Diceros bicornis minor: one gene and its partners. The protein of the gene in region 2 purifies or fractionates together with the protein of the main gene of each other region. This does not show direct contact. Links are inferred from orthologs where the notes say so. Each region holds a gene or a part of one and is shown on either strand. Other genes may lie near its edges. The genes, in order: BCL11B, HDAC2, MIER3 and DDX5.

Region 1 (8,113 bases), on a different chromosome or scaffold from region 2:
CAGCGAGCCCGCGGGCTGCCTCGGCGCCCGGCCGGGTTGCGCCTCGCTCGGCGTCCCCAGCCCCGGGCGCCCGGAGCCCCATCCTCCGGCCCCTCGCGCGCACGCCGCAGACACTTACGGGTGATGAGCTCCCTCTGGGACAAGTGCTGCGGGTTGCCCTGTTTGCGGCGGGACATTGCCCCGGCATCTATTCTGGCATCGCCCGGAGAGCTGCACTGATGGGGGGAACCGGGGGAGGGGGTCCAGCCGCCGCCGCGCCGCTGCCGCTGCCGCTGCCGCTGCCGCCGCCGCCGCCGCCGCGCCTCCTCCTCTGCCCGGGTTGGTGTTTTGGTTTTTTTTTCCCTTCCTCTCTTGCCCTCTCTTCCTTCTCCTCTTCTTCTTTATTTTGCTCTTTCTTCTATGCTGTTTTTTGTTTTGTTTGCAAAAAGAAAAACAGAAGACAAAAAAGAAAAGAAAAACCTCTCGATCTAAAATAGGAGAAAGAGGCAAAAAAAAAAAATGCTGTTGCTTGCCGCGGAGTGGCCGGTTTCTTTAAAAATATATTCTTCTGAAGGAAAAAAAAATCTCTTACACTTCTTCAAACTGCTTGGCCTCCTGGACTTCCAAATGTCTTCTTGAACTTAAACCGGATTTTGCACCGGCTCCTGAGACTTTCTTTCAGGGTCTGGTAGGTGGAAAGCGCACTTCTACCAGGAGGGGGGAAAAGGGGAAAAAATGCAAACAAATAAAAAAGAAAAGAAGAAAAAGAAAAGGAAAAAAAGAAAAGAAAACTTGAGGACTTGTCTCGTATCCCCTCACCCCGCCCCCTCAAAAAACCCACAGCAATGTAAAGCTGCCCCGGTTCGGTGGTTTCTGGGTTTTCTGCGGGCTGCCTGTTTTTTTTCTCGGAGACTGACCCTTCCGAGGCTCTGGGGGACTGACTCCAGGAGCGGCTCCTTCCCAGTTCACCTGGCAGGCTGGCGCCGGCCGGAGAGGCTGCCGGGTCCCCGCGAGCGCTCCCCAGCGCTCCCCTGGCGCCGCGGGCCCGGGGGGAGCTGGGCTGAGGGGCGGCTCGCCCAGTGCGCCTGGGTCGGTGCGGGCGCGGACTGGGAGCTATAGATTGCAACGTGAAGATGGCGGAGTCCGGGTTCTCTGGGAGCTCTCGGTCTCTCTATGGCTGGGGCTGCCTCTGTACAATGGGATAAAATTCAAGTTCAAGTGCGGACGTGACGTTTAATCTGCACTAGAGACAAAAAGACCCAGAGAGTCGGAGCACTGGGGGCGACTAGCGGTGGCTTTTTAACATTGTACCCTGTAAGAGAACAAGAAAGCACACACACACACACAGAGCCACACTCGCGCGCGCGCGCACACACATACACACACACACACTCGCCCGTGCGCACACCCGCAGTCCAGGCCGGCCACACGTGCAAACAGCGTTTTTGTGCGCTCCTCTTCTCCCCGTGCACTGGCAGCGCAAAGAGGGGGGAGACGGTGGGCAGGATATTTTTAAATAAAAGAAAACCCTCTTCATCCCTCCTCCCCTCCTGGGAGTAGGACCCCCTGAGAAGGGGGGCGGAGTGCTGCGTGCGTGGAAGTAAGTTGAATTAACGCAAGTCCCCACCCACCCATCGAAAGCTCTTTTGGACGTCGGGGGGGGGCCGGCGTTGAGGAGGGTTGGAGTCGACATGGGGGACATGGTCAGTCGCTTCATCTCCCTGGAAAAGTAGCTTGGTTGTTTTTACTTTTGTTTTATTCGGGGGTCGGGGTTAAACTTCCAAAAAGTACCTCCATATAAATCCTGATATTACAAACTCTGGGAGAGCGAAGTGGACAAAATAAAAGATATACAGAGGAGAGAATTAAGAGCACATTTGGGGGAGGGGGACATGAGACCTTGTTTGAGTCCCATTCCGGAAGGAATGCTCACCGGAATCTGTGAGCTCTCTCCACTTCACCCCATTAACTCCTGCGGGTCAAATCCGGGCCCCACCCCCTAACACCAGAGTCAGCAGGAAGTGGGGGCTAAGGGGGCAGGGGTGCTCCACGTGGGAGAGGGAGTTGTCGGCGCTGACCCAGAAGTAGGCGGGGCCGGTACTCTGAAGACACTCCTGTGGATGATCCCCTCAGGTCCCCCAGTTCCCTCCCACTCACTGACAATTATTGCAACCTGAAAGTGACGCCCCCACCCCCAGTGCTCCTCCGCCCAGGGCAGGACTTGAAATCTCCGGTCAGACTGGGAAGGACACAGCTGCCTTGTCAGCCGTTTGATCTCCAGCCGGCGAGGACAAGAGGAGTTGTGGGGGCCTGTCCGTGGCCCGCGGACAAGGCCAGGCCGCGGTCTGCATGGACACTCCGCCGCCCCCAGCCTCGTCCCTCCTCAGGCCGTGGCCAACTCGTCTATTTGATGACCTGACCTCCCGGGCTGGACGCGCCACGCGGTTGGACCTCTCTCCCTTCTCAGGGTTTCCTGGTCTGGGCCGGGAAGCGGCCAGGGCGGGTCGGGGCCTGGCTCAGGGCTGGGCTTCGCGGGCGAGCCCAGCTGCACCCACCCCACCCCGCCCCCAGGCCCGGCTCCGGCGGCTTCACCCGAGCGACTGGTTAGGCCGAGACGCCTCCGGGCTCGCCGCCTCCCTCGGGTCCTTTTCCTTGGGGGGCACATGGGGTTTTTGTTCGCCTCCAAGGTCTCGGGTGGGGTCACCGTACCAGCAACTCAACAGAGCGCAGCGCCCATTAGCGAGGCCAGAAAGAGCTCCCTGCCTAAACCACCCCCCCAAAAATAATAACAATAAAATGTGCCCCAGCATGCAGTTTTGCGGACTGGGCTGCAGGGTCGGCGGCCAAGCGGGTGGAGACTGGGCGGTGGAAGGGGCGGGGGCAAGTCGGCACTCCCCCTCCCCACCACTGCACGCCGCTGCCCACTACTCCTAACCCACACTCCACCTCCACGTGGTCCAAAGTCTAGAAGCGCCTCCCTCTCCTCTCATCTAGCCCCACCGCGAAAATCTTTCCAGGAAAGTGGCCTAAGTAAGAAAAAATGCCCACACGCACCTTTCATAAACTTCTTAAGAAAACCATAAACCGGTCATCCCAACTCGCCCAGATTCTTAAATTTGGAAGAGCTGTTAGGTCTCTTTCCGAGAACTGGCCGTGTGAAGTCCAGAGAAGGTTAGCGTTTTGCCCAAGGTTACACAGCGCAAGGGGCAAGTCTGGACTCCAATCGCCGCCGCGTGCCTGCTGCCCCGCGCCGCCTGCGCTCCGGCACCCGAAATCCCGACACGCGACACTCGCCCTCGGGGCGATGATAACAAGGAAGGGGGACCGGGTCTGTGGCTGCGGGGAACGCGGCAGCCGCCTTCAAGAAAGGGGGCCCTCCGCGGACTGCGCGGGGCGCCCAGGGGCCCCGGCTGCAGCTGCCGCCCCCCGCGCGCTCGGGCGGCGGAGTCTGGGGAGGGGGCACCCCGCCCCACCCCCAGCAGGAAGTAGCGGGCAGGGGGCGGCGCGGGCCGCGACTGACCCGGGGAGCACTTCCTCATTGGCCCCGCGCTGCCCCGACGGCGGGAAGAGGGACGCGCGGGCGGGCCGGCGCAGGGCCGGACACGCCGCCGCCGGCCGGCGCGCTCCACCTCGCGGCGGCCCGGGAGAGGCTGCCCTGCCCCTGCCCAGCCCGCGCTGGCCCCTTGGCCCTCCTCCTCCTCCTCTCTCCCGAAAGGCGGCCGGGCGCAGGCAGCAAGCGATCCCAGCTGCCGCTCCAGTCTCCTTTTTTTCCCTCTGCCCGTCTGGCACGGGCATCATTAGCGGTGGAAGCTGTTAATGTCTGGTCTCACAGCTCCCCCTTTAGTCTTGCTGCGCTCCCTGTCTCGCGTTCCAAGCCGGATCAATAGCCGCTTCTCCGCCGACCTTGACCTCTCCCTCGACCCCGCCCGGCTTAGGCAGCTGGCCCACACTAATGTTTCCCCACTCTCCGGATGCCCAGACAACAGGCGGGCGGGGCGGGAGGAGATGGGGAGCCCGGGACACAGCCCCGTCCCTACCCTTTCCTCAGAACCCCAGGCAGACAGGGGACCCAGTACTCTTCAGAGAAGGTCACGGCGCGCGCACACACCCCCCCACCCCACCACTTCATCTACCAAGTCTTTGTTTAGAATAAAAGTCACTCCGTCCCCCAAAAAAGGGGGGGTGAGGGGGAGCGGGTGCTTAACATATGAAAATAAAAGAGGAAAAAGTACAAGTACAAACGTGGTCCTGAGTCATATTACAATCCTTCAGACTCATTTCTCCAGCACCTGCTGCAGACCTACTGGGTGCTGGGCCCAGGGCTGTGGCTTTGTGCAGACTGCAATCAGATGGAAAGAAATACCACATTTTCTGCACTATCTTTAAAAAAAAAAGATAAAACAGCAGATGTCAAAAAGCTTTTTGAACTCACAAATATTTCCCTGCTTTTCTTTTTCTAGCTTCAGAGTGCATTCCAGCAGATAATCCCCCATATTCTCAGTCACTTTAAATTTCTTTATAGAAGAATAGTTCAGAAATCAGAAATCATTGCATCAAATCAGAGTGCATTTTTATTAACCTTGTGTGGGGCTCTGATTCCCTATGTGTGCTTCTCGTACCATGCCACGCATGGGGGGGCAGATTAAACAGACACGTGACTTCCTAGCCAGGCTTCTTGTTTAAAATTCTCTGAAGGATTCTCAATCCTTAACTCTTAGCTGAGGTGGGCTCTATTTGCGATTCTACAATGTTATCTTTGCCTTCTGAGCTGTTAGATTTTCTATGACGTCTTTACAAAAATTTGGAAAGAATCAAGATAAGTAGTGTCAGTAGAAATGAGAACTCCCAACGTTTATGCTGGAAAAAAATCGACTTTTCATTTGCTGTTTTTTTTTTAACATGGATCCATCCTCTAAAATGTAGTCAAATAACTTTGTAGCAATATACAAACTTAACAGCACATCTTACAGAACCGGTTCATCTATGGTGCTTTAAAAAAAAATCCGTGCAAAGAGAAGGCGAATCTTTTCGTATTCACAGGTGTAGGGCAGACTCAGAAGCAAACTGTGTCTGCTAATTTCTACTCCTCAGGATCTATAAACGCTATTGACTGTGAAAATGAGGATAAATAAAATGCAGCGTTCTGATCAGTGGATTGACTTGTTTTAACTTTCAAAGAAACCGCAATGGAGGTACTAAGCAAGTCATATTTATGTACATATTAATAAGGCTCCCGAGATGGTCCTTATCTTCTTCTTACAGTTCTAGAATCTCTAGGAGCTATCAAATCCAGAAGCATAAAAAGACAAAAGAGGCCTTTTGGGCTTCCCGGCATATCTTATAAAATTGTTTTATATCATTTCTGAAAATTACGGCAAATTTCTAAATGCCGTAAGCACTCAATTCAGGCTTTGCTGCATTTGGAGGAGTTTTTCGGATTGTCACCTTATAGCAGAGACAGGACCACAAAACTTGCCTTCTGATAATCGTTTGGATGATTCTCTCCGTGTCCTGAATTTAGTAACATCGCTTTTGTTAAAACATGACATCATTTGCACCTTACTTATTTCTGCAAGTAATATTTGGGCTTGATACAGTAGTAGATTTCCAACCATTGCTTAACTGCGGGAAGCATAGGCAAGCTCTAGAAAAACTAAGAGGCATCGTTGCCTGCTGTCTTTAGAGCTGCAGCCTGCAAGGGGTTAAATCAAAGTCACTCTTCCTGATTCATGTATTATTTTCCTTAAAAAATACTTACCCAGCTCTCCGTATATGAAAAAGACTCACACCCACATTGACTGTTCCTAGCTCTGTCCCTGTCATCAGAAATGATATTGAATGGCTCAGTACTAGGGGATCTGGAACTATTTCTACAGCTTTCTCACCTCATTTGGAATTTTCTTGCCTTGCTAATTTTAATGCTTTAGTTGAGTCATCAATTCAAATTCGGTAGGGACTGGCATCACCCAGTTGGTCGACTTGGGAGAAATATTGTTCACCAAGACAATCAGACTCCACCAGATCCCACCCCACCATGTGCACAGAGATCAGAGTGGCTGTGGGGAGTGTGTATGCGTGTATGTGTGTGGTGTGTGGTGTGTTGTACAAAAGAGTCTCTCTGCTGCTTTCCCTCTTGTCACTGAGTCTCCAAATTGTATGACTAAAAGTGCAACACACACACACACACCAGTTTAAATTCAGGGGTCTAGTGACTGTCAATCTACCCTATTTAGACCACAGACAAGGAAGAGAAAGAGAGTTAAAATGGTTCATTTGGGGAAAGAACTGGGATGCAGAAGGGAATTTTCAGTTCCGACTCTGGCTGTCAGGCGCTGCCGTCAGAACTGGCGCTGCATTGAGTCTGGTGATAGGAAACGGGGAGCGGCCGAGATGGAGGCAATAATGATCACCTTCCTAACAAGGGGTTTTATGAGGCTGTGAGGATTAATTAGTTTGTATCCTTAAGCAGTTTGAGAAAGAGGAAGTTTCAGTAAATGCTAAGCAGGAGTTGTAGACAAGTCTGACTCAGTTGCAAGCTCTGCCCCCACCGCCAATCCCAGGCTCTGAGAACTCCTGTCTGTGCTGTGATGCTCCACAAAGAAAGCAGTGGAAAGAGAATCCGGGGAAGTACTGGCCTAGGGAAGAACAGAGAAGGAGAGAGAAGCACGAGTCAGGCTAGCATCCCTCCAAAAGGCAGGCTAATGAGAAGGCTGCAAGGCGGTACTTACCAAAAAATAAAAATAAAAACCAGCCAACACCTTGTTTCGCAAATGCCTTCCAGAGCTGGAAAAGAAAAAAGGATCTGGGAGATCTCATCTGTTGTTTCGTAGTTTTGGAAACAGGCACGTATGCTTTCGAGTGAATTAACAAAGGTAGTTTGTATCCTAGAAAACACTTAAGTGGCGTTCCCTCTATTTAATAGAGAAGGGTTAATGTTGCAAGATGACAAGCACACAAGCTTCTGCAACACAAAGTTTGAACCACGGGCGCATTATTGGAGATGGAATAGTATACCTATAGTACGTGGAAATTATAAAAGTTGCTCTATTGTGCACGTATTAAAACATTGCATCTGCGTGAAGACACACTTTCAGCTCAATTTACAAGGCAAACAATTTGCTACAACAAAAGATAATTAATGCTGCCCAGGGAAAACCGAGACGCTGAATTGCTGTGCGTTCTGGTATTAGTTTAATCTGAATCCTTTAAAAAAAATGATTTCACTGTGATTTTTAAGCCTTTGGGATCGTTGAAACAACAATGGCTTCTAAAATATGGATGTGGCAATAACGTTTCCATTTGAACTTGTGACAAAGCCCCTCTGCCTCTCTCTCTCTTCTCTCTCTCTCTCCCTTTCTCCCACATGTGTCCTGAAATGAAACAGTGGGTGAGAGCGAAGACGCCCATCTCTGACCTGTCTCCGATGGTCTGCCATCTAAATACAGGGCAGATTTACGGTCGATTTTTTAACGTCTGAATTTGGACCTCCGGATTCAAATGGGTGGATTCCTCAGCTGTTGGGATTCAGTTGGAAATGCAGTTTCATTATTTGTATCTGCTTAACAGGAACAATTAGAGAACTGAAGAGTGAGGAGGCCTGTTTGGGGACCATTTTGGTATTGTACCCAGACCACACATTCCGGCTGGGAAGGAACACAGTAATGTATAAAGCATTAGTGGGTTTAACACTCCACGTTGTGTTTGGGGAATCGAATTGTCGATGTTTCTGGCAAGAACTCATACTCCAATTGAAATCTATCAAACACCTTAATTAGCTCCCGGTACCTCAATGCACCCAACCCAGAGGCAAGTCGAAAAGCATAAGAAGGAAAGGACAGAAGCTGCACCGAGGTGGCAGGGGACTCCCTGGCTCCCCTCAGGGCCCTGTGGCCTCAGTTTCCAGACCGGGATGCACAGGCCGTGATGGGAAGGCCAACAAGCCCTGGCAGTAAACGCGCCAGCCACAGGGGACTCGAGTGAGGGTGTCTGGATGGTTTGACCAATGTTGGCTGACGGGATGGGAAGAGGCCACAGTGACACAAAGCTGCTGCCAACGGTGACGGGAGTCTTTTCCTCAGCCAACCATTCCACCTGGACCTCAGTACAAATTATTGTTTTCAATTACCACCTGTGT
Region 2 (7,910 bases):
TCCCCAATTCCTCCTCATTAACAAGCAATAAAGTGGGGACCATTTAATTCCCAGTTGACCACACAATCTAATCAGTATATTTGCCACCAATTCCCATGAACTTCTCTTAAATTCTGTTAGTTGGTTGACAAGGCCCTCATCTTTCCTTTTTCAGAAAGCTTTCTCTCTCAGCATCCTAGCCTCATGACCAAAAACTTTGAAGAAATGTGAAGGGTCTGAAATTTTACACTACTTGCAAGCTAACCAGCTAGCCAATCACAGTTTCATAGATACTAGTATAAGACACAAGACTTCCATGTTAAAGACAAAGGATAATTTATTATTCAAAACAGCAGTGACCAAAGTATCAGCATTATTTTTTGTGCTGTTGCCCTGAGCCCCAATTCCTACAGACCAAGAGGAAGAGGGCCAGATGACACCTGCATTTGCAGTGGATTGCCTACAGGAGAGGAACCCTGAATTTAGGGAACCTGAATCTTTTATAATGGGTAGTATGCATGCGTGCCCTTTGCTACAGACAGGGTCATTTTCTCTATCTTCCAAAGCTGTTCCCTGTACAAAGGTCTTTGAATAGATTGTTTGGAACAAAAGGCATTCAGTACCTTGGCTCTCAAGATATTCAGAAACCCATGGAGAGTTGTTTCCTAACAGAAACCTATAGTTTCTTAGTAGAAATTACCAGAAGTCACTAACTTCTAATGCATATTTTGCATGAGTTAGGATGGTACTCAGCTGCATATAACAAAATCCTGACTACAGTGGTTTAACCAATGTGTTTGTTTTGTTTTTTCCCTGCATGTAACCAGAAGTCCAGAGGTAGACAGTCCAGGTCTGGTACAGATATAAATGAGGTCATCAAGGACCCAGGTCCCTATCTTCCTGCTCCACCATCCTTAGCATTTATTTTTCATCTGATGGTCCCAACATGCATACTCCACCTCCATTTGTACAGTTCTGGTGCTCCGTGGAGAGAAGTGGTTATCAGATTTGAAGGAAAGTCAAAAAAAATTGAGCTAGGAAAGAGGAAGAATTAAGATATATACATAGAGTAGTTAGGAGACAATAGCAAGTAAATTTTCCCAGACACAGTGTGGGTGTAGAGTTTTACTAGAAAATTTGTGCAAGTAAATAGATTGGATCAAAGTAATACCATGTTTTGTGGGTCATGAGCAAAGCATTAACCAATTAACAAGCTAACAGGGGTTACTTGAGGGGTTTAATGTAACTGAGTAACTTAGTACATAAGCTATGATTCAAAAATATATTTTTAATGAAAATGGGCAATTTTAAATTTTATTACACAAATGCACAGTTCAAATAGGACTATAATCTTTCATTGTTTGGTGCTACTGTTCTGATTTATGAGTTACAGCTTGTAGTACTGTGTAAAAATAGGCACCATGCTTCCAGGATCAGAATTCAGCTTGAGACTGTTTTAGTTTGTGACAACACCCCAGCGTTAGTCACTGTACTCTTCTACATTCTGTATTATCCTATGGAATTGCTACCTAGAATTTAACACCTTAGAGCAGAAACAAGCTTATGCAAATAATTCTTTTATAGCAACTAAAAATTAAGCTATCTGCCGCAGTTGATAGCAGGATTTAATTTTTAGCATAGACTGAGGCAATCAGTTTCTAAATAGTCCTATCTCTAAATAATCCATTTATGTTTAACAGATCATTTCATTGAATAATCTCGAAGCACTAAACATCTTCAAGATTGGAAAAATAAATTCCTATAGACAGAGAAGGAACTAAAGAAAAATAGTTTAAGAATAAAGACAATCTTCAAGTACTATGAATGAACCACGAATTCTAGAATTTTGTGAATGAACCATGCTCTCAACTTTTCTTCTACTGTATATTGTCTAAAATTCTCTTTTTTCTAATGGTAAAAATGTTTGATAGAGATGAGTTGGAATATAGTAAATGAAGTTTGGAGCTTTGTCAATGGATTTCAATAACTGATTCTACGTTTAGCTCTCATGATCTAAAGCTCATTATATGTGTTTAGGGACATAATTCTCATGGCCTGCTCTTACCACTGGATTAAACTCCTTCTCCAATGCCAGTTTCTAAGGGTAAAATAATTTGCTTCTATTGGCTTAAAATTATTAAATAATAAATAATGTAACAGGTTCTTCAACCATTCAAAATATATGTCTGGGTTCTTCTTATGAATTCAAGGCTAGGTGCTATGGATACAAACAATAATTATTATTACTATTATTATACAGTAATCATAATAATCCTTTCTATTCACATAGATCTTTATTGTTGAATGTTGTATTGTATTGAATTGTATTGTATTGAATATTGAATACTATTGTATTGAATTGTATTGTATTGAATATTGAATACTATTCAGCCATAAAAAAAAGACAAAATTGTGCCATTTGTGACAACATGGATGGGTCCTGAGGGTATTATGCTAAGCAAAACAAGTCAGAGAGAGAAAGACAAATACCATAAGATTTCACTCATACGTAGAAGATAAACAAACACATAGATAAGGAGAACAGATTAGCAGTTACCAGAGGGCAAGGGGGTGGGGGGAGGGCCAAAGGAGTAAAAGGGCACATGAGTATGATGATGGATAAGAAACTAGACTATTGGTGGGGAACACAATGCAGCCTATACAGAAACTGAAATACAATAATGTACACCTGAAATTTACACAATGTTATAAGCCAATATGACCTCAATAAAAAAATTTTTAAATACTATTCCATATTAATTTTCTTATTTGAGCTACTCAATATTCATATGAGGAATTACTCTCCGAGTAATACAGCCCCATTTTAGAGATGAGGCAATTCAGACAAAAAAAGTTTAAGAGACTTGCCCCAAGTCATAAGCACTGGAGATACAATTATGTGCAAGACAGACATGGTCCCTCCTCTCCTGAAACTCTATTCTAATGAGAACATTCAGAGAAGTTGTGGGCAACTGTAACATGGTAAGTATTGAGCTAGAGGGGTAGAAGTCACAACCACCATGTGAGGAGCACAGAAAACAGTCTTGGGGGGAGGGGGTAGAGTCAGGGAAGTTTCCTGAAGTCTCATTTCAGACTTCACTATGTGGGCTCTGAGAAGAACATTAGTTTCTACTAAATTAACTTATTCTGTTCTCAGAAACTAACAAGTTGATTTTAGACTTGATAGAGCAAAACTTTGAAAGTCAGTATCATGTAATTAACTTTACCTCTAACCTAAGTGTAATGTTTCTTACACTGTGATTCCCGTACCAACTGTATCAGGTACCTGGGGTGCTTGTTAAAAATATAGACTTGAGGGAGGAAAAGCTGGGCTACCCTGGAATTACTTTTTCTAAATTTGGGGGGTGGGGGAGGAGGTCCAGGAAAATTCCCGCTTTAAGTAGGAACACCTTGGGAATTTTGACGTCAAACAGCAAAAATAAAGAGGGTATTTTTGGTAGCGTCTCTAAATGGTTCCTGTTTCAATAAGGACTTTTTTTTTTTTTTTTTTGATGGGGGTGTGGGAAAATGTGTTATATTTGGGGGAAATTGTAACTGATAGAGGTGGGCTAAAAGTGCTACACTGCAGACTGTCCGCCCCCGACCCCTCACCCGCAAGATGGCTGGTTTACAGTGGGTGCTTGATAAATGTTTGTTGACTTGTTGAACACAGGGACACAGCTATTTATAACTTCCATGAGTTTTGCAAGTCCTTTTTCTTCCCTTTCTGCTCCAATGTCCAGCCAGCATCAGCAGCACAGTGGAGTAGCTAGCGTGTGTGAATTGTCGGGAAAGAATGAATTATTCAAATCCCAGACCATCACCAGTTGAGAGAACTAAATTCCTTAATCTCCCCCATTTATAAAGAAGGAATAGAAATAATACTTACACCCCAGTGTTGTTGGAAGTCTATACTGAGTTACAGGTTATCTACTATAAATAGGTATCAATGAAACATGTTGTAAATGCAAATACTTAGAACCGTGCCTTACACACAAATTGCATTCTTTAAACGCTCATTCAAACCCAGACAGTACACTCTACTTTTTAATCTGTTAACAGGTCCTTCTACCAGGTCAGAACCTCGGAGCAATTATCAGTAAAAAAAAATCAAAGAACAAATGAATAAACGTGAAAACCAAGGAGACCCGGCACAGGGTCACTGGACTACGGACTAGCCGGCTCGTGGCAACCACAAGGGGCTCTAGAGGGGTCTTTCTCCGCCCGGCTCGCGGCACGTGGTCCGCTCGGGCGGGAGCTTCGCGACAGTGGGGGAGGGGAGCGGCGTGCGACGACGCAGAGGGGGTCTCCGCAGCCAAGGCTACGGTTGGGGAGGCGCGGACTGCGCACGCTCGGGATAGGCGCAACCACTGTGTGAAGATCCGGAGGGGGGAGCGTTCACCAGGCTCCATGCTCTCTTTATGTAAATACGGAGCGAAAGCCTGTCCTTTTTTCTCGTTTTACGACCCTACTTGGCACTGCCCTCTGCAAGCTGTTCATCATTGAAGGCCTCTTATGCCAAGACTGAGGAGGCCTATTTCTCTAGTCGTGTCCCTCCCTCCCCCGTGGGGGCCACAGTGGACGCGTCCCACCTCCCCTCGGCCTCCGGAGGTGGTTGGGCTGCCCCCTCCCCCTCCCCAGTGTCGCGAGTTGGCGCCGCTGCCAACCCTCGCTCCGCGCTCTTGGCCCCTCGGCCGGGCGGTACCGAGCCCTCCCGGCGCCCCCTCCTCGCCTCCCACCGGCTCGCCCTTCCCCGCAGGACTGCCACCCGCCCCTCCGCCCCAGCCCTGTTCTCTCCCCGCCGAGCCGCGGCGGCCGCAGCAGCAGCAGGAGGAGGAGCCGGAGCCCGGGGGCGGCGGTGGCCGGGGAGCCCATGGCGTACAGTCAGGGAGGCGGCAAGAAGAAAGTCTGCTACTACTACGATGGTGAGGGGCCGCGCCGGGCCAGGGGGCGGCAGGGCTGGGGCGCCGGGCCTGGGGCCGCCGTCGCGAGTGGGCGCCGGTGCTGAGGGGTGGGGAGGAGGAGGGACCGACGCCTGGCCGCATCTTCACCCGTTCCCGACCCGACGCCGGCAGCGGGAGACCCGCGGAGGTGCGGGCGGCAGCCAGGGGACGCCCCACTCCTCCGTCCTGCCCTTCTTCCTCCGGCGGGTCGGTCTGCCGCTCCGAAGTGGCCGCCTCTGGGACGTGGCCGGCCATCCCCGGCTTCGTGGGTGCGGCGAAGGGGACGGCCCTCGCCGGCTCCTCTCCTGCCCGCCACTCGTGGGAGCGGAGGTTTGGGGGTGCCCTGCTGCGGCCTCTTGCACCCGACCCCTCCCCCGGGTCAAAATACCTACCCCGGCCGAGCCTGCACACAAAGCCCTGCGGCCTCGAGAGCTCCGCCCCTGCAGCCCCTTCCCTCCCCATCCCTGTGTGCTCCCCTCCCCTCGGTCTGCGGCTGGACCGAGCATCTTCTTTCTCCGCCTCCAGCCTCGCCCCGGACCACTGGACCCGGGTCGGTGCTGGAGAGCAGTTCCCGAGGGTGCAGGCCCCCCTCCGGCCTGGGGCACACTCACACCCCTGTTGTGCGTGGGCTCCATCCCTCTCCTTTGTTCGCCGGGTTCTTTGAGCGCCACTTTTCTCAGGATTCAAATGAAAAGGCTGCGCTTCCTCAATTAAAATCAGGGTTTTCGAGTTTGAGGTAGTCAGCCTTCGCGGGAAACATGACGGTGGTAGGGAAACGTGGAGCTGTTAATGCTGGTGTTGTGGATCCGAGACTCGATGGGTTCCGGCTTGCCTCTGTGAGAGGTGGTTACCACCCACTTCTTTGTTGCTCTTTGTTCGATCAGGAAATACACCCTGCTCTGGAGGTTTAGGAGAGCAGGGGCATCTTGCTTGTGAAAGCTGTTTCTAGGTGGTGGGAGTCCTGGTGTAGGAAAACTTTGAGGAGTAGTGCAGAAGTACTAAATAATCAGGTAAGCTTGAGCTCACGGTACAGTAAATTGTAAAAGTCAGGTAATTTAATTTTAGGGGTTCTTCTAATTTGAAGTTTGGGCAGTAACATTAAATCTCTGAAACCTGTTTCCTGCGCTAGTCTGAATTATACTAAGCGGAGTAGTAACCTGTTTTACACATTTCATAAATAAATAGGCAATAGTAAATAGTTGGTAAATAGTTCCTAGTAGGTTACTCTCCAAAAAAAGAATTCTAAAATTTAACGAAGAAGCTAGGCTCAAATGACCTGAAAGTCCTATCTGATTTGTCTGAAGCAATATAAATTTTGGAAGCTGTTTGCTACATTCGGTGTACTATAAATCACAAAATCTTAGAAAGGTAAAAAGACCTTAGAGGATTGGGTGAGAATAAATCTGACTTCAATTTGAAAATGGCCATCCCGTATCTCTTCAGTTAGCGAGGATGAATCTTCTAATGCCTGTTTATATAAAATAACCACCTGTGTCATTTGTGGAAAAATCTAAAATCTTAGAGAACGAGTAAGTTGTCTGATATTTGATAGCTAGTACTAAATAGTAACAGCCATATTTTAAAAATATGTTTCGAGAGGACCATGTATGTGTGTAATACATATTGATTTGAAATTGTGCCATTGTGGAGGGGTGGAGATGGGAGTATGTTTTAATTTTAACATGAATTATTAAAGTTTCTTAAAGTTCATTCTTGGAGAATTCATGCATGTTTTAGGTCACTGGTAAAACTCTTGCTTTGCATTCCCTGATCAAATTGAAAAGTAAACCATGTGTGTAAGTTACTTTTTAAAACTATGTTGTTTCTAAGGTTTAGAGATTTGTTCTTGTCAGGGCTTGAGGTAAAGAAGGCTGGTTTTAAAAAGTTGGGGGGAGCACAGGACAGATAGAACTGTTTGGTGGTTACCAGGGGCTAGGGGGTTGGGTGGGCACAAGGGGTGGAGGGATGCACTTGTATGGTGACTGACAAGCAATAATGTACAACAAAAATTTCACAATAAAAAATTAAAAAAAAATAGTTTGGGGGTACTGAGGCTCTTCTTGCTGCTGTTGGTTGCTGTTGACAGTGATAGGCTCTAGTGGAGTAAACTGCTTGTACCTTCTTGTCACAGGCTTGAACTGTGGAACCAGGGGGTACACTTAAGTGGCAGTTTTATAAACAGCTGTTTGTTCGTTGGCTCATTTATGATGAGCCTTTGTTGAGGGAATGGGAGCCAACTCTGGTCCCAATGGCGGGATGCAGGCTTGATAGGTAGAGTGGGAGTATCTAAGTCTCGTGATTGTGACTTAATCAATACTTTATAGTCGACCATTCAGCTGCTTCACCTGGTGGCCAGCAACAGGTGTGGAACTGAATGTAGGGAAGTCTCTGGTTGGATTGTCTTTTGTCCAAGGCTCTTCCTTGACTCATTTTTAGAATAGAATTTGTCGTTGCTTACATTTGAAATATTCTTTGGATTTTTGTGGGGAGTCTAATAAAATATTCTGCAGAGATTATTAAATTTGATAGGTATCGTTATGCTAATTATTAGTATATGATAGTGTGCTAAGCTCTGCACAATTAATTCCAAAAGCTTTTTTTTTAATTGTGAGGAAAGAGGATGCAAGTAAAGCAGCTTCTGCACCAAAGAGTTCTATGACTCGAAGGTATACAACATGGTCTGGATTGGGAGTGGGTAGTATCGGTAGAAATAGGGCCTGAATAATCTGCCAGCCTAAATTAACTGGTTTTAACTTGTTGGTAAAGCAAGTAGATGGAAGAAAGATAAGGAGGAAAAGAGTGAAGTAGCAAATTTCTGTAACCATAGGAATCCTACCTTTAGGCTTACTGGGACCATTAGGCACACTCTTGGCAGCAGAGAGAATGTCTAGCAGATATGGAAAGGACTTTTAAAGATATATGTATTTTTCCCTGTAAATTTTAGTCTTCAGTATTATACCCTTTAGATCACTGGAATGCTGGTTCCAA
Region 3 (7,535 bases), on a different chromosome or scaffold from region 2:
AAGTGTTCTTTTTTTGAGGAATTCCTGAAAACCTCTGTGGTATGCCAGTGTCAGGGACGAAATAAATGGTAACTTTTCCACCTCTCTGAGGGCAGAGCTCTCTCCTCTTTTGTAATCCACACATCACTCCGCACAGCAGGCTTCCCCCTTACAGTGGACTGTATTCAATAAGGGCGAGAAATGAAAGGTCGGAGGGTCTACTCTTGGCTTTCTCCCTGCCTTTCTGGGACCTGAGGCAAGTCATTTAAACTTTCTGGGCCTGGGTCCACTTTTTCATTTGTAAAATACATAGGGTTGGCTTAAATGACCTCAAGAGTCTCTTCTAGCTCTAAAATTCTCTTTAAAATTGGCTAATTGATTAAAAACAGGTTATAAGTTTGTTTAAACACCAAAACCACACTGCGTTTTTGCTTTTTATTTACATTGCAACTTCTTAAAAGCAGACAGTGATGCAAAACGGAAAAATTCCATTATCATCCAGATGTTTGGCATCATGTACATAGTCTTCCCCTGAAATCAGTTATAACAAAGAAAATGTCTCAAAATTAGAGAAACTTTTTAAAACAATTTTTAAATGTAAAGATGCAGACAGCTGTTCTTAAAATAGCCACAAATTTCTTCTACTTGGTGTTGATTAATTATTTTATAATACCTTAAACAATAATCAAGCAAGACCTTAAAAGTCGACTAAATACACAAAGTAATATGCAAGGAAATGGACTGTTCCCTCTAAAGCAACAGGTTATAAAGGAAGACTTGGGAGCTCATCCAGGCTCTGCTATTAACTGGTGATTCTTAGTAGAGTTATTTAAAAGTCTCCTCAAGTGTAAAATAAGGGAGTTGGACTAGTTCAGAGGTACTTTTCCTGGGGACTATGAGATGGAAAAGAGGCAGCCAAGAGGGGGCTGGAAAGAGGATGAGAAATCGAAACAAAGCTGTCCTTACATTTTAGCACATGAGGAAAGGTCCTTGCCATGGATGGGATTCAGGGGTTCTACAAACCCCAAAACGTATGCAATTATGCATATGTGCAGAGTTCTGGAGAGAGAGTCTCTTGCTTTCATCAGATCCCGACAGGGGTTTCTGACCCCAAAAAGGATAAGAAACAGTGTACTAGACAATCTAAAGTTGTCTCACCTCAAAAATTCTACATTACCACTTTTCTGTGCCAATCGGAAATTCTGTGTTTCTTTTAAGGCAGCTTTACCTCTCAATTTTCAATTTTAACACAATCTATAGACATTTCCCAATTATGAAAATTTTATAAGACCAAATAAGGGAAGATGGGGAGTCATGGTTAATAATCAATATAAGCAACCCCAAAGTTCTGACGAATTAAAGAGTCGATTTCTTGGAGAAACTAAAATTAAAATCTAAACTAAACTACTCAAGTTAGTGATTAAACTGTTCCAGGCTTGGAGAAAAAACAAGATATGTGAGAATTAAAGATATATTACTTAAAAAGAACATGTCTATTGGCAGCTTTGTAACAAGGTATTTTTTCAACATGCAAGCAAAAAAGAGAATAGTATAACTGTTCCTTCCTCGAACAATTAAATTACCAAAATGTACATTGAAACTCTTGAAAACAAATGATGAAAAACTAGCAGGACAAATTTTTGTGGGAAGACCTTTAGCAATAGATCTTTGAGCCCCCATTACCCTTTGGGACCCACTGAAGAGGTAAGAAAATAGGACAAACCTGGGCTCGAACTTCCAAAAGAAGCCTAGGAGAGAGAAGAAAACGTGCGGTTAGATCGCGCTGCCGGGGGAAGAGACAGCGCCGGCAACAGGGCGCAGAGGAGGCGGAGCCCAGCGCTCCTCTGCAGCTGCCAAAAGTGCAAGACGTAGCTTCGCTCCAATCGCTCCCGGCCCCTTTCGGGCCCCTCTTGGCTGCCTCGCCTTCCTCCCCGAGTCCCCAGTGTACAAACTCGCAGACCCGGGACGAAGCCCGGAGTCTAACAGGCAACTCCACGCCGCCCCTTGGAGCTCAGCAAGTTACAAAGCAGAGAAGCAAAACCCAGAGCAGTCAGCTCGCAGCATCGGTACCCCATCCCCGGCATCTCGGGAGTCCCCCAAATCCCACCAGGCTCTCCACGGCCCCAAACAACACTTCGCAAGGCAACAACCTTTCCTGGAAGGGACAGACTCGCCCTCCGAGCACCTAGTCCATCCCTTGGGGCCCGGGAGCCCCAACTCCTGGGCTGTCCTCTACCCCCGAGCGTAGGCCGGCTCGCAGTCGGACATTCGCCCCCAACCAAAGCGCAAGCCCCCCATCCTCTCTCCTGAGTCCGGAGACGCGGCCCCTCAGTCTCAGAGATGCTGGTTCTCTCCAGGGTGTTCAGTCCCTCCTCGGGCCCGCCAGTGAGACCCTCGCCAAAGCGAGTTCCAGCCGAGGGGCTCCTGCTGCGCCACCCCCTCCCCCCAACTCACTAGTCCCGAGGGACACGGCCAGGGCAGCTTCACTCCCCCTGCCTCCCTCCTCCAGCCCAGAGGAAAGTGGGGCTACCGAGAGCCCCTGGAAAGAGCGTCGAGGATCTTGGTCCGCCCCCTTCACCCCCAGGGGCTCCGGCTCCTCCCGGGCTGCGGGGCGGGGAGTCCCGCTCGCCTCCCGCGAAGCCCGGCGGCCGCGCATCCCGCTCGCCTGCGCGCCCCGAGCAAAGTGGAGCGGGAGGCTCCTTCGCGCCGCAGCCCGGCCCCGGTGGGCCGGGGGCACCGAGCACTCCTCCCGCAGGGCAGTGGCGCAGCCCGCTCTCCGTTCTGCAATCCGGCCGCGGAGGGGGGGCTCGGCCGGTTTCCACCCACCCCGGCCCCGGGGGGCGGCGCGGAGGCTCCGGCGGCCCGCGTCAGCTGCCCGGGGGCACGGTACGGCACCGTCCCCGGGCCGGGGCTCGCTGCCGCCGGCCGCCGCCTCCCGTCCCGCCCCGCCGCCCGGCCGCGTCGGGGCCGGAGCCGCCGCGGCCTAGTCCCGGAGGGAGACCGCTCCCGCGCCCGCTCCCGCCCCCCGGCCGGCCCCGCCGCGGCCCCTCGCCGCCCCGCGGCCCCCGCGCCGCCGCGCCGTCCCCCGTGGGGCGGCGGGAAGGGCCCCGGATCCCCCAGGCCGGCCGGGGAAGGCGGGGGGCCGCCGGGCGCCCGCTCCTGCCCGGCCGCTCCTGCCCGGTTCCCCTGCTCACCTCCGCCATATTGGTACCTTTAGGGCGAACGAGCAGCGCCGAGCCCAGTCCCCGGATGGGGCGCCTGAGCCAATCGCAGCCGCCGCCGCCGCCGCGGTCCGCCCGGCACCCGCCCGGCGGCGGAGGCGGCTCGGCCCCTTATAGGGCAGGGCGGCCCGCGACGCCCCCGGCCCCTCGCACGCCCACCCCGCCCGGCGCCCCTCGCCGCGCCCCGCGCCCCGCGCCCGCTGCCGGCCGCCCAGCCCGCACCCGCGCGCACCGCCCTTCCCCGCTCGGCTGGAGTGAAGTTCCTGCCGAATCGGAGGCGAGCGGGGGACGGATGGAAGCACGGGCGCGGGGCAGACCCCCGTCCGGCCAGTCGAGGCCCGAGAATCGGCCGGGGTGGCTGAGGACCGACCGACAGACACTCTGGTCCGGTAGGGCGTGGGGGAAGCGGGCAGGAGACTTGGAGGGACAACTCGACAGACTTCGCTAAGAAAGAAGAGAGGAGGTGATCGATGGAGTAGACTGATGGACGAGAGGAAGCCCCGGGAAATGGGAGAAGTGGCTAATGGATGGCAGCGTCAGTCCGGGATGAGAGGACAGCGACCAGGCACTTTGCGGTTTCCCCGAAGAGTCTTGCAGGAATGGGGGATGCAGACCACCGTACACTGGCTCGTGGACGGTGGAAGTGGTCATTTGCCAAACAGGCTCTGGAAGACAGTGACAGTACGGAAGAAAAGACAAAAGATCAATAGGGCAAAGAATCGATGATGAATAGACTTGAGCAATTCGAAGATGCTCATAAAATATAAACTGTGCAGGTACGAAAAAAAATTAGAATAGTCCTAAGGGTCGTTAATCACCAAATAGTCTGGGGGATAACCCAGAGGTACACACCTGATAGACCTGTGGAAGGGTGGGAATAGTATATCAAAGGCCCTGAACTGAGTCTCAAAAACTCTGCCTCCCACCTCCCTCCCAAAAGGCCAAAAATTTAGTTAGGGTCAAAAAGGAAGCTAGTTCTATGGGCAAGTGATTGGGTGGAGGAAGGAGGACAAGGCTTAACAGGTATACCGGCTCCTACGCATGCGTTATGGCCATTTACTCTTCACTGGGAGAGGTAAGTCTAACTCGTAGCAGGTCCGTGTCCACACTGAACAACTTTGAGCACGGTACCCAAAAATATTCACTAACAACTCCTTTGTAGCCCACAGAGTTAAATCCTGCAAGAAGTTCTGTACACCTGAAACGAATACAATATTGTGTGTCAACTATACTTCAATTAAAAAAAAAAATCCTGCGAGTTCAAGTCCCATGCGGAGTTGCCTTGGCACACGATTAATTGAGGCAGGAGGCCAGAAATAACAATATGTATGGAAAAGAAATTCCAAAAATATGGAAAAGAGAAGTCTGCTGTAAGGTCCATGGATAACTGAGATCCAAACACAATCAGAAGAGTATGGCAGGACCCCACAGAGACTTGGGGAGGAGAGGGATTTCAGACACCAGGGCTCTTCTCCCAACTGTTGCTCAAACATGTAATATTAAATAATAGAGGGGCCAGCCCACGTGGGCCAGTGGTTAAGTTCAGCATGCTCTGCTTCCCTGGTGGAGTTGGGATCCTGGGTGCGGACCTACAGCACTCTGTTAGCACCCATGCTGTGCTGGCTGCCCATGTACTAAAAAATAGAGGAAGATTGGTACGGATGTTAGCTCAGGGCATCTCTTCCTCAGCAAAAAAAAAAAAGATGAGTTGAGGTTTTTGCTGTGATCTCACAAGTTGAGGCACTTTTTAGAAGCTAAAACTTTCCATGCTCTTAGTCCAACTGTGAAAGGTCTGGATTTTAACCTGGGGTTGCCTTCAATTCTCCCCTACAAGAATGCATCCTATGGATCCTGGGTTATGGATAGGAGGGGAGGAGGTTACTTGCAACATTTTTGCCAAGGCATCTCAAAATTAAATTTACCGATAAAAGTTATTTATTTGTGGAAATTTTAGGAGAAAAATCATTTCAACCATTTCAAAACATCATAAAGACGTGGAAAATTACACTTTCCCTGCTGTGAAAGATATCTTTCGACCTTTTGTCCAGTCAAATAACTCAAAAACAGCTGAACTTTGAAACTTGGCACACACTGTATGTACTGTCCTCAATGAGGCATTTAGAGATTTCAAAGTAAAAAATGACTTAATTAAGTGCAAGTGATTAACTTTAGAAATGTGGCAGTGAGCACGCCCTGTGGACAGAGCCATTAAACAGTGCTTCGAGCTTGACCACAGTCTGAGCCACCACAGACCAGCCCCGGACATGAAGAAAGTGTCTCTAACAGCCTACCTCGAACTTAACACTAAGGAAAAATGTTTCCTTCCTAGCAAAACATGGCTAATCCAAACTATAAATGTAGCCTTAGGTTCCATTCTGCCGTATGTGAGAAATATATAGACTCATGCACTTGCATAAACTTATTAGAGTTTCTGCAGATTCTTTTTTTATTAAACTGTAAAGATTTTGTATAGGCATTTGTAATTTTGACTGCATATATTCTCTCCATCATAGTACATAGTTTATGTAGTCTGTGTCCAGGGTATTAAATAAGGATTCATAGAGAGAGAGTGAAGCTAAATAAATTCGCAGTTTAAGGTAGCTGAGCTACTTTCCCCCCTCCTAATCACTAGAAAAATAGTTTACTACCCAGTCTTACATAACACATTCCTTTTATGATAAAGTGTGTAAAGTCTACTGTATGTACATGGATCTTTCACTCTTTTTGATGACAAGACTTCCAGGCGTTGGTACAGATAAAACGTCCCCTTGTTCCAGGGAGTTGAAATAAAAAATGACTTTTTCCTATTGTTAGCATTATCCTGTCACTATGGTGGCATTATATAGAAAGTAAATCTGATGCTGGATGCTGGGCACTATGGGATCACCATACAAGTCTTTGTCCCTCAAAAGCTGACAGTATAACTGACTAATTCTTATATGTGGTCGATGGGAACAAGAGCAAGGAAAACTCAAAACTGAAACCATGGTAACTCCCTAAGGAGAACCAAAATGTAATAGATCCTCCAGCCATCTTTAGAAATGAAATAAATCAAGAGAACTTTGTAAATGCATGATTTGAGATGGCTTACAATAAATACGTACAATAAAATAAGAAAATGTAAATATAAAAAATGAGGACCATTGAAACTCATTAGACTAGGAAGTTAACACCTGAGAAAAAGTTAGAACAAGAATATGCAGGTAATGAGGTGTAACACACAATAAGAGAGTTAAACCGTAAATTTGGCTTAGAGCTTTCTGGACCCAAAGCAAAAGGAAAAAAAAAGTAAATACAATCAGTTGCTTGATGCTCATTGTCTTTGAGGAAAATACAAATTCTTCGATGGAGACAAAGATTTTCAGGACACTTTAAAAGAAATATCTTGCCTGAGCTACGTTATAGCAACATGGAAATGTGGAGGGAAATATCGTCCACCAGATCCTCAAACACACTAGCAGGTTTTACAACACTGTTTCTTTTAGTGACCATCCATGCAAGCTGAGGGCACCATGTGAACATACGACCTACTGAGAGCAGTTTTAATAGGGCCACAGTAATGCAATACAAATATTGAGCTTTCTACAGATTCATCTAACCCAAGAGAAAATAATAGACTATCCAAAGTTAATGTCTCAATCTCAAGGGCCTCTGGCAGTCAGTCAGGCACAATGAATGAGTGAAGCAAGCCAGTGTGAAGACAAGTGGGGGCAGTAGCGATCCGGTAGACGGAAATCCTGCCTCAGTGGGGCAGACACTAACTTAGACTCAGCAGACCGGCTCTTGCCTTGTGAAATCGTAGGCCAGACGTTCTGATCTCCCAAGGACATCTGGAAAGCTGGATTTTTATGTGAAAACTCCGGGTTTTTGAAATTTATCAACTAATTAAAAATTAGTTGATAAAAATTAGTTAAGTGTGTGTGAGGAAGATTAGCCCTGAGCTAACATCCATTGTCAATCCTCCACTTTTTGCTGAGGAAGATTGGCCCTGGGCTAACATCCATGCCCATCTTCCTCTACTTTATATGGGACGCCACCACAGCATGGCTTGACAAGTGGTGCGTCAGTCCGCGCCTGGGATCCGAACCCGTGAACCGCAGGCCGCGGAAGAATAGCGTGTAAACTTAACCGCTGTGCCACCAGCTGGCCCCTAATTAAAAGTTTTTTGAATCCAGTGTGGGCCAAATAAATCACATTAAGTAAATCATGTTAGCCATGAGCTTCCAGTTTGCAGACTCTAACCTAGATCATCCTCTTAATATTACCCCTCAACACGGCTGTGGATAAGACTGTAATGCCAACAATTCAGCTCTCCATCGGAAAAAGCTACGTGCA
Region 4 (7,494 bases), on a different chromosome or scaffold from region 2:
CTTACTTCTTTTGGCCAAGTCGCACTCCACATTAGGGTTTGCCTATCAGGCTAAAGAATTTCGGATAAAAAAATAAAAGTACTGTACTGTAAGAATGAATTTAGAGCTAAGTTTGAAGAGGTAACATATTTAAGGGCACTCACTCTTATCTGATCCACAATCTTCCTTATTTGGGGTTCAAAGCCCATATCAAGCATTCTATCTGCTTCATCAAGGACAAGGTAGGTGGTTCTTCTCAGATTGGTTTTCCCACACTCTAAAAAGTCAATCAGTCTTCCAGGTGTTGCAATACAGATTTCCACACCTTCAATTAAACACATAAATGTAACCAAGACATCCAAAACTTTTAGCAACATCAGTAATGAAGAGAACCTTTTTTGTTTACATGCCTCTCTCCAAATCACGTATCTGTGGTCCCTTGGGAGCACCACCATAGATGCAAGTGGACTTCAAGCGACATGCTCTACAGTATTCAGCAGCTACTTGCTGTACCTGTTGGGCCAGTTCCCGAGTTGGTGCCAGCACCAAGCACTAAGGAAAGAGGAACAGAAAGCAGAAGAGCTTTTACCAGAGACCTGAATCCCAGTTTTCAACTGCTAATTTATCAGTTTACAGTGGCATATTATTTTGCTGTCCAATACCCTAAAATGCTTTGTCTCCAGTCAACTCGAGTAGGATAACTAGAGTCTCCCCACAAAACCACCACAAATTATGTCTTTTGCTATATAGTCTATAAAATCTCTAAATTACACTTCTAGCCAAAAATTAAGAGAAAATACATATATACTTACAATAGGCCCATCACCTCTCTCTAGGAATGGCTGATGATTGATGTGGACTATGGCAGGCAGCAAATACTATTCAGAGGAGAGCAGACAACAAGGTACCATTAATATACTTCTGGTTTCTTTGTATGCCCAATCCATGTTCTCTAGACCCATCACAGAGTAACTCAAAAGTTCTCCCAAACTTACAGACAATGTTTTTCCAGATCCAGTCTGTGCCACTCCAACCATATCCAATCCACTTAGAGCAACTGGCCATCCCTGAGCTTGAATAGCAGTGGGTTCAGTAAAGTTCTGCCTTGCAATAACATCCATAACGTTTGCTGTAATTAGCAATAGCAACTTAGTAAAAATTAGTAGGGCCAAGAGAAAGGGGGGAATTAAAAAAAAAAAAGGAGAAGAAACAAAAGTAGCACTTACCAGGAAAGTTTGCTTCATAAAAATTCAGAACTGGCTTTGGGCAATTGTGACCTCTAACCGTAATTTCCTTGCTTCTTCTATATGTATCCACCTCTTGCTACAACACAAATTACAATAATCTAGTGTGTGTCATGATAACCGCCTCTAACACAATCAGTAGGCCCCTAAATTTATAATTGATTAGCTACATTAATGTTGCCATTTTAAATCTGGATCCACATATGAAAACCCTATATAGCCCAAGAACCCCATATCGTGTTACACTCAACCATTCTAAGTAGAAAAACTCAAAGCCAACTGTTTCCAAAAAGTAACACCTCTTCCCCAACTACCAAGTCAAAAAGCAGTAATTTCTCAAAACTTGGTCATTTGCTAGACCTTTCTGGTCCGACTTCCATTTACTATAAGTTGTTACTGAGTTACAGCCTAGTGGGGCCAACGAAATTACTCACTGCTGTGCGCCTAGCCAAATCAGGGTGTTCTTGATAAAAATTCTTCTCAAATTTGGGCAGCTCATCAAGGTTCCACTTCTTTTTAACTAGTTTCTCCCCAGGGTTTCCAAACTTCTTTCCAGATAGGGGCCCTGCCCTACTTCCTCCAAATCGAGGTGCCCCAAACCTGAAATTAAAAAAGAGTTACATTTTCAAACGCCTACACAGGGCTTTACATATAGACAGACTTACTAACCCTTGGCACACACTCAAGATCAATTAAAGACTTTTGGAGGTTTAAGATCTAGCTCTAGCCTTAATGATGGTCATTCTCCCAAACCCACAATCAGCATCCTATCTATCTCATTTCCCGTGGTCCCAAGTACACACTACTGAAGCTAAGTCAACAGCCCGGGATTTATCAGGTCGGAAATACACTGCCCAAACGCCAGAAGTTCAGACTACAAGTACAGACAACAGCTTGTGGCTACCAGTCTTTCCCACAAGCTTATGAATTAAATATCTGGGAGAGAAACAATACAAGAAAGGAGAAGCTTAACAGCTACGTTATTTCTCAGCTGTTTCAAGCACAGCAACTTTGGTTTTAAGTGGATAACGGGACAGTACAGGCAGCCAGAGCATTACAATGAGGGTTCTCCAGGACGCTGAAGCCAGTGGAGTTGGGGGATCCCGCGGAAAGGCCCCGGAGCAAGGTAGCAAAATTACATAACGCGAAAAAAAGAGGAGGAGGAGCTGGCGACTACCAGGGGAGGAGTCCCGACCCAGGCGGAGTCGGCCGGGCGGCGTTCCCGCTGGGGCGGCGCTTCCCCCTTTGTCTCGCATTTCTCTCTGCGCCACATTTTCTCGACGCTGCCATTTTGAGCTCCTCCGCCGGGCGGGGTAACAAAGGCGCCGCCGCCATGTCCGACGCCGGCATTTTGTACCCGCGGCTCAGCCACATGGCCGATTCCCGCGGCGCCGGCCACCCCCCTGCCCCCGCGGAGGCTTCAGAGGCGGCTCCCTTGGCTCCCGCTGAATCCTGGGGGCCCCTAAAACACCTCCGGAAAGCTTGCACCTAGAAGCGGCGACTCCGTCCGCCTCGAAGCGTCGCGCTCGCCTGCCCTAGAAATACGCTCCTCCGCATTCTCCCAACAGCGGCTAAATCGCCGAGGCCCTGATGGCCCCCGCAAACAAAGGGCGAGCTCGAGGGCCGTTAACAGGCGAATCTCTTCTAGTCACTTTTGGACAAATATCAAACATTCCATTGAAGAGGCCCATGGGTGGGCTGAAAAAGACAAGTTCCCACCCTCTCCACCGCCCGCCGCGACCCTTATCGGCCTCCCATCCCCCACCCGCCGGGCCTGACAGGTCAGTTCTCACACTTACCCTCGATCCCGGCCGCGGTCTCGGTCACTCGAATAACCCGACATGGCGTCAATGGTTGCGGTTGGCGGGGAACGAAGTGGAGAGAAACGGGTGCGACGAGTCGCTGGAGCTGGCTTCGACGACGGCGAAGCCTTGCGGGGGCGGCAGAAGCAGAGGGACAGCGATGACTGGAGCAAGAAGTGCTCCACAAGAGACTGGTGGAAATGAATGAGGTGCCGGCCGCGTCCCGGCAGCCGGTTTTATAGCCTGGACCGCCTCCTCCGCCGCACAGAATGCTGGGAGCCGCTCTATGACCTAATCACCCCGCCCCTGCGCTGAGGCCGCAACGCCCGCCGGCGTTCCGGAATCCGCCGTGTTCTCGCCCCTCCCCCCAGGCCCCTCCCTCAGAGTCGCCCGTTTTTCGCCCCTTTTATGGCTGGGCCCACCCACCACTGGGAGGCCCTAGCTTGCACGCTCTTGACTCCACCCTTTTCTCGTCTGTCTACACCTTAAGGAAGCCACCCTGCCCTTTTCCTGGTCCGGCCCAAGGGATAAAATGGTCAGCCCACTTGGAAATGTTTACGTCTCCAAAGAGCCTTCACGGCCATAACCAAACGAGAAGGCGTGAAGGCGGAGCCTGGCATTGTCACGTGGCTGCCCCCCCATCCGGTGAGTGGACCGCACTACTTCCCCAGTTGGCATCAGCGGAAGAATACAAAACGAAATAGCTCACCGGAAGTGCCGTGCTAAAGCCCCTGAGAGACCGGCCAGGGCTGCTGGGTGACCTGGGCTGTCAAACCCACCCACCGGAGAATCCCTTAGCAGGATCTTGTCGCGGAGAATGGTACCTCGACTCCGCAAACCGCCGCCCCGGCGCGTGCTACGAAAGGAAGTGCTCCTCTGATGACCAATCAGCAGTGAGAGGCCGTTTTAACGTCCCTCCCTCCTTCACCCCTCCTTCGCTGCGCTTTCGTTTCGTTCCGCCTCTTCTCAGCACTGTGTGTGCCCCTTGCGGCCCTTCCAGGACACCGTCCACCGCGCGCCCGGCCAGGAGTCTGGTGCCGACCTGCCTCCGCGACATGGCCGGGTCGGAGACTGGTGAGTCTCGCCTTGGAGCCGTGGTATGTGTGGACTGAAGCTGTCCAAATCCCTGAACGGCCCTGCCCATTTTATCTTGAGGCCTCGAGCCGGCTTCAACTAGGACTGGGCTGCCGCCGGGGCTGGTGACACACCCGGTCGTAGACGGTGGGCTCTCTGGATAGGGTCTCCTAACCCCATTCCCTGTCCGCTTCGAGGCCACCGAGCGCGATTTTGGGGCGGGGGAGAGGAGGCCCTGCGGCGAGGACCGTAGCACGCCGGTATCCTGGTGCAAAAGGGCGGTCAGCAAGTGTTTTTTTCGGGACTCTAGCCCTTGTCGGTGTGCTCTTTGCTCCTCGCTGTGGGAACTCAGGTCGTACCTGCCGTCTGTATTGAATTTCTGAGGAATGGCACTCTTAAGATCTGTTGATGCCCCTGCCAAAGTAGAATAGTGGTGGATTTTTCTCTTCAGTGCCCTCTAGAGTTACCGGCTTTGTCTAGCACCACTTGAAAAACGAGTTGATTTGGTTGTCTAGGACGCTTTCATCCTTTTCTCCAGGACAGCCTTCAAACCAGTTGTCATGGTTTGGTCAGCTTTGAGGGATGGACACGGAGAGAGGGAGATAATGTGCCTTGAAGACACATACACACATTTATTTCTAGGACATACTGAAGATATCGAATACGGAATAAAAGAACTTTCCCCTTAATCGCCAGTCATTTCAGGGAACAAATGTTTCAAGCTTTCTAAATTACCTTTGGTCGAAAAACCCTTGAAATAACTTGCCTAATCCCAACAGTATCTGGGGGTGGGGTGGGGTGGTAGGCAGGAAAGTTCAACAGTATTGGTAATGTACTAGTTCTGAATTTAGGGACATTTTATATATTTCCCATATTTTCGTTCATATGCATTAAATATAATTTTAAAAACCAACAAGTGTAGTAGTGTTGGCATCACTACTCCAGTTCTTAACAGCCCCTTTTTGGACACCAGAGAAATTCTGACTTGCACAAGATAATTGGGTAAAAACGTGACTAATGCTATTGGGAATTTGAAGCAACATCCATTAATTAGTTTCTAGTAATCTCAGATTATCATTAACTGTCTTGTTTATGACAGTATTCCCATTTACTTGTAAATATATTTTACATAAAAACACCTATGTATGGCTTGTAAAATAGGAACTACAATAAGTAACTTAAAATTTTCAATTGCAACAGTGAAAGCTGGATTCACATCGTAGTTTTGGCTACATTGAAATTCTGGCACTCTGGAAATCATCCCAAGAAATTAAATACATCTTTTCAAAAATCATGCCTAGGAGGGTCTTTGAAATTTTATAACAATCAAATCCCTTATCTTCTACAGAGTTCAGTGTCTGTTTTTGTGGGGCTTGTTTTTTTTTAATGTATGTATATGACTCTTTCTAGTGCTATTTAAGGTTGGTCTTTTCCCTTTCCCAACAGAGTGGGTAACCATTGCCAATAACCTTCTTTTGAAATGTCACATACATCTGAGGATACACGAACTAGAAGATTGTGATGCTAATGTTTTTATTGCTCTTTATCAATCCATTTTGGGAGAAAAGGTGCCAGGTAAGGGTACTAAAAAGTGAGAGTAATATTGTCTGTATCTTAGGCCGCAAGTTTCTAGTGCTGTTAGTTAGATCCTATGGTGTTTATAAAATCTTGAGTTTTCTCTTTGTCTGCTTCTTATTTTTATCTAAATATTGCATTCATTACCTTAATGACTGCCTAGGAGACCCACCTGTAATAACAGCCTTGGTCATCGCTGTTTAATTATGCCTAATGCCTTGTGAAAGTCATACCTTTTCCATCAATCTACCTTCAAAGGTTCTAAAATTGAGTGGAACTTTGAAACTTGTTGGGTCCTGTTGCTTAAGCAATATTATGGATAAGAATTGTTGTTTGTTACCCTGGTTAAATACCTCAGAGTCCTTATCCATAAATTCCTCTCTTGCCTCTGTTTCTTTCATAGTTGATAACCATTAAGTATTATAAGCTCTGTATAGTCTCTCTTCCTTTCCCCCTGTTACCGTGAGTCAGTGCCCTCATCACCTCTTGGAATAATGGGATGGTCTCTACCTGGTATCTTTCATGCTAGTCTCAACCGTCTTTAGAGTTCAGAGGCATGTAGTTATTAGACTAGTCCTTTAAAATACTTTTTTCATCCTACCCCAAAACATTCATCTTCCTCAATACCAGAGGAGAAACTCCAAATTTAAGTTGATATTAAAATCTTTCTGCACTTTGGTCCATACTGACCTTTTAATCCTTTGTACCAATAATTCCCAATAGGCTGCTTTAACACGACATGCAAGAATTCTACTTTCACACCTGTTGTGGGTTTTTTTCTCTCATGGAAAGCAGCCCATGGTTATGGGTTAAAGTGTCACCACATGTATTGCCCCCTTATTAGAATATTAGCATCGCCTTGAATTTAGGGACCTCTCTATCTTCCTTTAGCATGGTGCTCATTGTAGAGCACGTTCATATATATTTTGGTTGAATAAATATTCAGTCAATAATTATTCAACCAGTAAAGATTCTGCTGTGTGGAATTCAGGCTCTGTTAACTTTATTTGTACTTTATAGCCTGTTCTGTTTGGGCAGAGCTTAGTTTTGTAGCAGTGGAGCTTACTCACAAGCCTGGTCAGAGACAGATAGGTGAAAACTTGGCCCCTCATAGATGCAAAATTATGTGGCTTTTTTCCCACAGACCTCATAGCTATTCCTAGGAGTCAAGAGGATGACGCTCACAATGTACAAGCAGTAATTGATTCATTGGCCTTGGATTACCTGCAGGTCAGCTTGTCTCATATAACAGGTTGGTATATACTTAGCTATCAGATAATTTTGCATTTTACTTAAAATAATTTGTTAGGTAGAATCCCAGACATTGTTTAATTAACAAATGAGTAATCTTATGAAATAGACTAACCAGCAAGACTGAGCCAAGACAGTTGACTGGTGTAGTTAAGTCAGCCATCCTTGAGAGCTTTTCCAGAAGAGTCAGACATTGAGTTTGTGATGGCTCTGGGTCTGAGATGTAAGTATCCTAGCTGGTAATTTGAGGTATGTTTTGTTGTTCTTCTATTATTTTAAAGCTACCATCCTGCTTGTTTGTAGTAGCTAAAAATTAGAAATACCTAAATGTCCATTATTAGGGACAGGTTAAATAAATTATGATAGCTCATTACAGGGAACTACTCTGCAGCTGTGAAAGATGATTGATGATGCTCCTTAGGTACAATGTTTCACGTTAGTGGAACAATCTCCACTATATATTGTGTGAGAAAAATGTGGTGCACTTACAATGATAATGTGCAGAGTATGCTACTATTCCTAAAAACAAAGGTAGGGAGAATATATATGCAGTTGATTGCATACAGAAG

Evidence for each region.
Region 1: the proteins of HDAC2 (region 2) and BCL11B purify together in Homo sapiens (affinity purification with mass spectrometry; 4 studies listed by BioGRID and IntAct, with this or other methods). This does not show direct contact. The link is inferred for Diceros bicornis minor from reciprocal best matches to the Homo sapiens genes HDAC2 and BCL11B.
Region 3: the proteins of HDAC2 (region 2) and MIER3 purify together in Homo sapiens (affinity purification with mass spectrometry; 3 studies listed by BioGRID and IntAct, with this or other methods). This does not show direct contact. The link is inferred for Diceros bicornis minor from reciprocal best matches to the Homo sapiens genes HDAC2 and MIER3.
Region 4: the proteins of HDAC2 (region 2) and DDX5 purify together in Homo sapiens (affinity purification with western blotting; 3 studies listed by BioGRID, with this or other methods). This does not show direct contact. The link is inferred for Diceros bicornis minor from reciprocal best matches to the Homo sapiens genes HDAC2 and DDX5.

The regions. Positions count from the first base shown.
Region 1 is NC_080763.1:44,453,917-44,462,029, forward strand, and holds the start of BCL11B (B-cell lymphoma/leukemia 11B), read right to left. Parts: upstream 3,348-8,113; 5' UTR 3,034-3,347; intron 2,060-3,033; exon of another isoform or gene 687-2,059; 5' UTR 177-686; coding exon 119-176; intron 1-118. UniProt on the Homo sapiens protein: Key regulator of both differentiation and survival of T-lymphocytes during thymocyte development in mammals.
Region 2 is NC_080762.1:21,797,243-21,805,152, forward strand, and holds the start of HDAC2 (histone deacetylase 2), read left to right. Parts: upstream 1-4,711; 5' UTR 4,712-4,852; coding exon 4,853-4,904; intron 4,905-5,811; exon of another isoform or gene 5,812-5,932; intron 5,933-7,910. UniProt on the Homo sapiens protein: Histone deacetylase that catalyzes the deacetylation of lysine residues on the N-terminal part of the core histones (H2A, H2B, H3 and H4).
Region 3 is NC_080759.1:19,015,938-19,023,472, reverse strand, and holds the start of MIER3 (mesoderm induction early response protein 3), read right to left. Parts: upstream 3,195-7,535; 5' UTR 3,183-3,194; coding exon 3,174-3,182; intron 1,728-3,173; coding exon 1,703-1,727; intron 1-1,702.
Region 4 is NC_080757.1:47,202,285-47,209,778, forward strand, and holds the start of DDX5 (probable ATP-dependent RNA helicase DDX5), read right to left. Parts: upstream 3,229-7,494; 5' UTR 3,067-3,228; coding exon 3,023-3,066; intron 1,824-3,022; coding exon 1,658-1,823; intron 1,303-1,657; coding exon 1,206-1,302; intron 1,109-1,205; coding exon 975-1,108; intron 858-974; coding exon 792-857; intron 532-791; coding exon 390-531; intron 305-389; coding exon 144-304; intron 51-143; coding exon 1-50. Other genes in the region: CEP95 (centrosomal protein of 95 kDa), read left to right, coding at 4,081-4,099, 5,546-5,674, 6,819-6,926. UniProt on the Homo sapiens protein: Involved in the alternative regulation of pre-mRNA splicing; its RNA helicase activity is necessary for increasing tau exon 10 inclusion and occurs in a RBM4-dependent manner. Binds to the tau pre-mRNA in the stem-loop region downstream of exon 10.